Linked DNA regions of Arabidopsis thaliana. The protein of the gene in region 1 interacts with the protein of each later gene in a pairwise test. Each region holds a gene or a part of one and is shown in the gene's direction. Other genes may lie near its edges.

The links.
Region 2: the proteins of petD (region 1) and DAC interact in a two-hybrid assay, tested with the Arabidopsis thaliana proteins (one study listed by BioGRID).

Annotation. Positions count from the first base shown.
Region 1 is NC_000932.1:74,222-78,172, forward strand, and holds petD (cytochrome b6/f complex subunit IV), read left to right. Parts: upstream 1-2,259; coding exon 2,260-2,267; intron 2,268-2,976; coding exon 2,977-3,451; downstream 3,452-3,951. Other genes in the region: psbN (photosystem II protein N), read right to left, coding at 28-159; psbH (photosystem II protein H), read left to right, coding at 264-485; petB (cytochrome b6), read left to right, coding at 620-625, 1,430-2,071; rpoA (RNA polymerase alpha subunit), read right to left, coding at 3,680-3,951. UniProt on the Arabidopsis thaliana protein: Component of the cytochrome b6-f complex, which mediates electron transfer between photosystem II (PSII) and photosystem I (PSI), cyclic electron flow around PSI, and state transitions.
Region 2 is NC_003074.8:6,141,318-6,145,155, reverse strand, and holds DAC (uncharacterized protein), read left to right. Parts: upstream 1-1,845; 5' UTR 1,846-1,909; coding exon 1,910-2,006; intron 2,007-2,101; coding exon 2,102-2,247; intron 2,248-2,336; coding exon 2,337-2,426; intron 2,427-2,524; coding exon 2,525-2,683; intron 2,684-2,768; coding exon 2,769-2,849; 3' UTR 2,850-3,031; downstream 3,032-3,838. Other genes in the region: AT3G17940 (Galactose mutarotase-like superfamily protein), read left to right, coding at 1-29, 123-172, 415-541, 638-745, 827-1,449; AT3G17920 (Outer arm dynein light chain 1 protein), read right to left, coding at 3,133-3,348, 3,424-3,584, 3,725-3,831.

The DNA of each region.
Region 1 (3,951 bases):
CAAATATTTGGAGGCTGATTACGTTAACTAGTCCCCGTGTTCCTCGAATGGATCTCTTAGTTGTTGAGAGGGTTGCCCAAAGGCAGTATATAGAGCATACCCAGTAAAACTTACAAGTAACCCAGATATAAAGATGGCGACTAGGGTTGCTGTTTCCATTATTATAGAATTGAAAGACCACACCGGATCTATGCTAAGATCATTTATTTACAACGGAATGGTATACAAAGTCAACAGATCGTAATGAATACAAAATAAGATTTATGGCTACACAAACTGTTGAAGATAGTTCTAGATCTGGTCCAAGAAGCACTACTGTAGGGAAGTTATTGAAACCATTGAATTCCGAATATGGTAAAGTAGCTCCCGGATGGGGAACGACCCCTTTGATGGGTGTTGCAATGGCTCTATTTGCGGTATTCCTATCTATTATTTTGGAGATTTATAATTCTTCTGTTCTACTGGATGGAATTTCAGTGAATTAGACTGAGAAGAATCTTGAAGTTCTAGCTTTTAGCTCGATACAAAAAAGTAAAGTATGCAGGTCTAACAATTTTAGCCTATTCTCCTTTGGTAGTTCGACCGCGAAATTTTTTTCTGCATTGTATATTTCCGGAATATGAGTGTGTGACTTGTTAGAATTGACCCTATGGATAGTACAGAGAATGGGGTCTGTCATCTTTATCAAGATGGTTTTACTTCGTCGGATATTCATTCGAGTATCTGGAGCACGAAATAGATCAAATAGATCACAAAGTATTCGAACTATGATTCATACTTAAATACTCAAACCTCGTAGCCGGACTTCTTTCCGTTCTATCTTATAAACTTTAATAAATCAAAAAAATTTTCTGCTTTTAAACTCTTATTTGGATCAAAGGACAAACGCTTCTTTGTATTTTATGTTTTTAGTCATTATAGCTTTTTTTTTATTGAATAAGTGATGATCCAATGGTTCTCACTCAGTGAACTTTGGACTTTGAAGGTTTCATTAAATTATCGTGGTTCTCGTATGAATCTGAGGTTTCAATTGATTAGTTAAGTAGGGTCTTAACAAGAGAATTCCTATCAATAATAAAGAAAACAAGAAGAAATCCCTGTCCCCGTTCCATACAAATACCAAATAAAAAAAGACAATAAAGATAGGTAATCTAGAAGATTCAAGAGGCCTGTAACGATCAACACAACATAAAGACGAATGAGCTTACTTGATTTTTTGGCATTTAACCACAAAGACGAGCTTTCGCATTTTGACTCTTTCATATCTTTAAATAATAAAAAATAATATTGAATGAGAGACAAGTTTAAAACTTTATATTCCATATCTGTTTCAATCAGTATTTGGGTCTTTTTTTGTTTGAGCTGTACGAGATGAAATTCTCATATACAGTTCTTGGAGGGGGAGTAACCTTGGTTTACCTATCTCAATAAAGTTTATGATTGGTTCGAAGAACGTCTTGAGATTCAGGCGATTGCAGATGATATAACTAGTAAATATGTTCCTCCGCATGTCAACATATTTTATTGTCTAGGCGGAATTACCCTTACTTGTTTTTTAGTACAAGTAGCTACGGGATTTGCTATGACTTTTTATTACCGTCCAACCGTTACTGAAGCTTTTGCTTCTGTTCAATATATAATGACTGAAGCTAACTTTGGTTGGTTAATCCGATCAGTTCATCGATGGTCGGCAAGTATGATGGTCCTAATGATGATCCTGCACGTATTTCGTGTATACCTCACCGGTGGTTTTAAAAAACCTCGCGAATTAACTTGGGTTACTGGTGTGGTTCTGGGTGTATTGACCGCATCTTTTGGTGTAACAGGTTATTCTTTACCTTGGGATCAAATTGGTTATTGGGCGGTCAAAATTGTAACAGGTGTACCTGACGCTATTCCGGTAATAGGATCACCTCTTGTAGAATTATTACGCGGAAGTGCTAGTGTTGGACAATCCACTTTGACTCGTTTTTATAGTTTACACACTTTTGTATTACCTCTTCTTACGGCCGTCTTTATGTTAATGCATTTCCTAATGATACGTAAGCAAGGTATTTCTGGTCCCTTATAAATAATATAGATTCTAGGTATTTGTACTTACTTATTACTTGGTGAAGGAACGATAGTATTTTATTGCTATAAATATGGATTATTAAAAAAATAAAACATGTATTTGGATATTTCCCTTCAACTCCACAATATTTTATTATTTTTTTGACATAAAAAGTTGAAGGGAATTCTATGAAGAGATAATGGATTATGGGAGTGTGTGACTTGAACTATTGATCGGGCCGTGCAGAAATATTACTTTATCTGCTACATTGGAATTCACAACCAAATGTGTCTTTGTTCCAACCACTGTGTAAGCCCCATACAGGGGATAGGCTGGTTCACTTGAAGAGAATCTTTTCTATGATCGTACCCGACGCTGTCGTGGATGAGTGGGCTCCGTAAAATCCAGTAGATTAAGGGATGGAACAAAATCCTGATTATGTTTTTAGTTATTTTGGACTAAAAAAAAAAAAGAAAATAATTATTAATAGTAATAGTATGTAAATGCATTCATTTTCTCTGCATCGACTCGATTTATGATACTATCGGAGTGAATACAGGATCTAATGAAGAGTAGAGGGTAGACTCCATTAGTAACAAGTAAATCCTTTGTATTTGAAAAATCTCGATATAATTGTTGAGATTAAGGACGAATTTATAAGGTATGAGACGACCCAGAAAGCACTTAATCATGATAAACTTTTTAAGCTTACGTGGGTGTTGAGCATTTACCTGTAAGAATGGAATTTCTTGAATCTTTAGTTGCAATAACTTTGGAATCGGATAATTAATTTTTACATATTAAATTATATTTTTTGTATGTATTCATTTAGTTTGGTTAATTCTTGCTCGAGCCGGATGATAAAAAATTATCATGTCCGGTTCCCTCGGGGGATGGATCCATAAGAATTCACCTATCCCAATAACAAAAAAACCAGATTTGAATGATCCTGTATTACGAGCTAAATTAGCTAAAGGTATGGGTCACAATTATTACGGGGAACCCGCATGGCCCAACGACCTTTTATATATTTTTCCAGTAGTTATTCTTGGTACCATTGCCTGTAACGTAGGCTTAGCGGTTTTAGAACCATCAATGATTGGTGAACCTGCGGATCCTTTTGCAACTCCTTTGGAAATATTACCTGAATGGTATTTCTTTCCTGTATTTCAAATACTTCGTACAGTGCCTAACAAATTATTGGGTGTTCTTTTAATGGTTTCAGTACCAGCGGGATTATTAACCGTACCCTTTTTGGAAAATGTTAATAAGTTTCAAAATCCATTTCGTCGTCCAGTAGCGACAACCGTCTTTTTGATTGGCACCGCGGCGGCCCTGTGGTTAGGTATTGGAGCAACATTACCGATTGATAAATCTCTAACTTTAGGTCTTTTTTAATTCAATTTATTCAATTGTAAAATAAACGACGTGGGTATCTAGGGAGGTATCTAGGGAGTAGTCATTTCCAAATGAATTCTCCCTAGATACATATCTAATTCTAATTAATTTAATTAATTAATTAAAATGGGTTCGACTGGAAAATAGAAATTACGTTGAAATTTGAAAATCCATTTCAATTTCAAATTGACTTTTTAGTCTTAGTCAATTTTTTTTGAAATGTTTTTTCTATTTTTTTTCTAGAATGTCTAATATCTTTTTTACATCTTCTACGTGAAAATGTTCAATTTTGATAAGGTCTTCTTGACTGTTATTCAAAAGGTCCAATAATGTATGTATATTGGATTTTTTGAGACAATTGTAGATTCTGGGAGGCAATTCTAATTGGTCAATAAAAATATATTGAAAGGCTAGTTCTTTTGTTTTTTTTTTTTTTCTTAGGTTAACTAATCGATTATGAAAAGGAAAAAAGGGTAAAGTAACTTGATGTTGATTGTTCT
Region 2 (3,838 bases), on another chromosome or scaffold:
CACCTCTTTGTCTGTTCCCGACAAGAACGGTTTGTTCTCTTCTTCCTCCTTTCAATGATGATCTCTGTTTTGTCTCCAAATCCTAATCCTCTGATTATCGTCTTTGTTTTTCTTATTTGAAGGGAAACTGGGGGATGTAGTTCTCGGATTCGACTCGGTGGATCCATATGTGGTAATTTCTCTCGAATTCACCTAATCCTTGAACTGATCTCGACATAGATTCAATCAATCTGATCGAAACTCTAATCACTGCCTCTGGATCTCATGAATAGAGTCTGAATCATAATTTAAGAAATGTATATGGTCATTCATGTACCTTGTTGAATGACTTTGTGATGAACTATCAAAATAAGATGGACTTTGTAACAATGTTAATGAATATGTGTGTTTTATCTATGAATATGATTGTTACAGAAAGGGCTTGCACCATACTTTGGGTGCATTGTTGGTCGTGTGGCAAATCGGATCAAGGAGGGAAAATTCAGTCTCAATGGAGTTAACTACACTTTGCCTATCAACAAGCCTCCTAATAGTCTCCACGGTCTGTATAAACAATTCTCTTCTCTGTATACTTTCTCTATAACTTTCTGTGAACTAAATAGGATTTGGACCGTAAAATGTTACTCTATCTGTACAGGTGGTAACAAGGGTTTCGATAAGAAGATATGGGAAGTTGCAGGGCACAAGAGAGACGGCGAAAAACCTTTCATCACTTTCAAATATCACAGTGCCGATGGAGAAGAAGGTAATGACATATCCTTTCTCTAGCATTTGATTTCTGTGGGATTAGATTAGCTATATAATGTTTTGCGGTTCCCCTCCACAGGTTACCCTGGTGCGGTTTCTGTCACGGCGACATACACTCTCACGTCAGCCACGACAATGAGACTTGACATGGAAGCTGTTCCAGAGAACAAAGATACTCCCATCAACTTAGCTCAACATACATACTGGAACTTAGCAGGTCATGACTCAGGAAACATTCTAGACCATAAGATTCAGATATGGGGGTCTCATATCACGCCGGTTGACGAATACACAGTTCCTACAGGAGAGATCTTGCCTGTAAAGGGAACTCCTTTCGATTTCACTGAGGAGAAGCGGATAGGCGAGTCTATTGGAGAGGTTGGTATCGGATACGATCATAACTACGTGTTGGACTGTCCTGATCAAGAGAAGGAGGGGCTGAAACACGCAGCGAAGCTCAGTGATGCTGCTAGCTCAAGGGTACTGAACTTGTGGACCAATGTGCCGGGAATGCAGTTTTATACCGGGAACTATGTGAATGGAGTGGTTGGGAAAGGGAATGCGGTTTACGGGAAACATGCGGGTGTGTGCCTTGAGACGCAGGGATTCCCGAACGCGATTAACCAGTCGAATTTCCCGTCTGTTGTGGTTAAGGCTGGTGAGAAGTACAATCACACGATGCTGTTTGAGTTTTCAGCTTGAGTTTATAGATGGACGTTTTAGGTGTTAGATGATGGGAATAAAGGGCCGGTTCATTTGATTCACTGGGCTGGAAAAAGAGTGATTTTAATTTTATCTCTTTGGGGGAGAATAATAAAACCAAACTGTTTACATTATATTAAAGTTACTTTATTTTTTCATATCTTCTAAACATTTGGCCCATTTGTGAAATTGTGAATTGTGCAGCGAATGAATCTCCCATTGTTCACATGAACTTGGAAAAAAAGAGCAATTAGTGTATTTGAGTAATTCTGATGGCAATTATGTCTACACGCATGTCTTTTGGGCGGTGAGAAACACGCGCCACTAAAGAAGCAAAAGCCTATGGGCCCCAAAAAATATCAACCATCCATCTCTGTAATCTCTTCGTCCTCCCTTAAATTTTTGTTTCATTATTTTTTTCACTAGTAACCACGGCTTGTGTTGTGGCTTAAACACAGAAATGGCTTCTTTACCGTTCGGAGTTTCGAATCTATGCAGAAATCAGGAGGTTCTGTCTGCGTCTGTAAGGCTTCTTCCGGTTGGGCGACAAACCACAGGTTCTGTTCTCCCCCAATAATCGTTTTCGATAAAACTTAAGGATTTCAAGCTGAAGCGATTGTAAAACTCTCCTGTGTTTGTTGTGATGATGCAGGATTCGGAGCTGCGAAGAAAGTCTTATATAGATTCGAGGGACATAGATTGTCATCATCAGTAGAAAAGGGAGAGAAACAGAGAATGAGATGTAGAGTTAGCTCAAACTCTACTGAAACTGAAGACGATTCTGCTACAAAAACCAAGGTCTGCACTCCATCTCTTTGAATTTACATCATAATCTATCGTCGTAGTAGTCCTGAAGCAAACTCTGTTGTGAAATAATTTGGTTATAGACGACGCCGTTTGGTTACACGAGGAAGGATGTTATATTGATAGGAGTGGGAGTGACTGCACTTGGTATCGGGCTAGAGAGTGGACTTGAGGTAATTCTCATTATCTACATACTGATGATATCAAATGAATCTGTTATCTTTTTCTTTGTTCTTCTGAGTACTCATTTTGTGATAATGATATGGTGCAGTATGTGGGAGTTGATCCGTTGCAAGCGGGGAATGCAGTACAGCTGATACTGGTGCTTGGTTTGACTTTGGGTTGGATTTCGACTTATATCTTTAGAGTCGGTAACAAGGAGATGACTTATGCCCAGCAACTTCGTGACTACGAGTCTCAAGTCATGCAGGTTTCTGCTTTTTCGTTAATCTCTTTATCAGGGTTTATCTACTTTACCTAACATAAGTTTGGTTTGGTTGGTTGGTAATGAGCAGAAACGATTGGAGAGCTTATCGGAGGCAGAGTTAGAGGCATTGATGGCACAGGTTGATGAAGAGAAGACCAAGGTTGAGTAGGTTCCTCCATTGTGTTACTGTTACATCACCTGCAAAAGTTTGTAAAACGAAGAATAGCACAGGCTTTCAAAGTAAAAATCTAGATATTAATCTGATTTTCTTTCTTCTTCCTTGCTGTTTGTTGTATGAACGATACACACTAAAAATATACAAATCGAAGAATATTTTGGACACACCACAGGACCCTCAAGGGCTTTATACAAGATGAATCAAAACTCACGAACAAATTGAATCAAATGAATTTGAAGTTATGAACAAATGTCAAGTTCTAAATATTTACGGCTCATCTCTCACCCAAATGCCTTACGAACAATGGGAATTCTGTCGAATCTGGGTGAAGTCCATTTACTAGAGCCACAAATTTGGGTACACACTCAGGGCTGAGTAACTTGAGCTTCCATGTTACTGAATTCACTGTCCTCTTTTGGCTGCTTTGAAATGTGGAATCCTTCTGCTTGACCTTCAGTGACAAGCACGAGCTTCCTCTTGATTCAACAACCTGGATAACACCCCAATTTGCACATAAAAAACTGACATAAGCGAGAGAAAGGGAAAGAATAAACAAACTTGTTACCATCTCAAATATGTCGGAGATGGAGCAGCTTGAGTCAAGTGAGAAATATGGGGATGAAGAAGCATCATCTGTTGGCAGAAAACTCAGTTGCCTGAAGTCTTCATTGCATATGAAAAGATGTCCACCCGCCACAAAGAGTGACCGTGGAAGCCATGACACTTCTGTTCAGTTTAACACAAAAAAATTGATTAACATTATAGTTAATGATCAGTGCTGATACTGCTCGAATCAAATTACTTATAAGCTTGTCAAACCCTATTAAGAGAAATAAAGCTTCCTCATACAAGAGAGAATAATATACCTCCAAAAGTGCTGCTCTGAAAATGGAGAACAATATACTGGAATATACTCAGCTTCAAACCACTACATATTTCTTTCTCAAACAATTCCACTTGAACATTCTCCAAACTGCCAT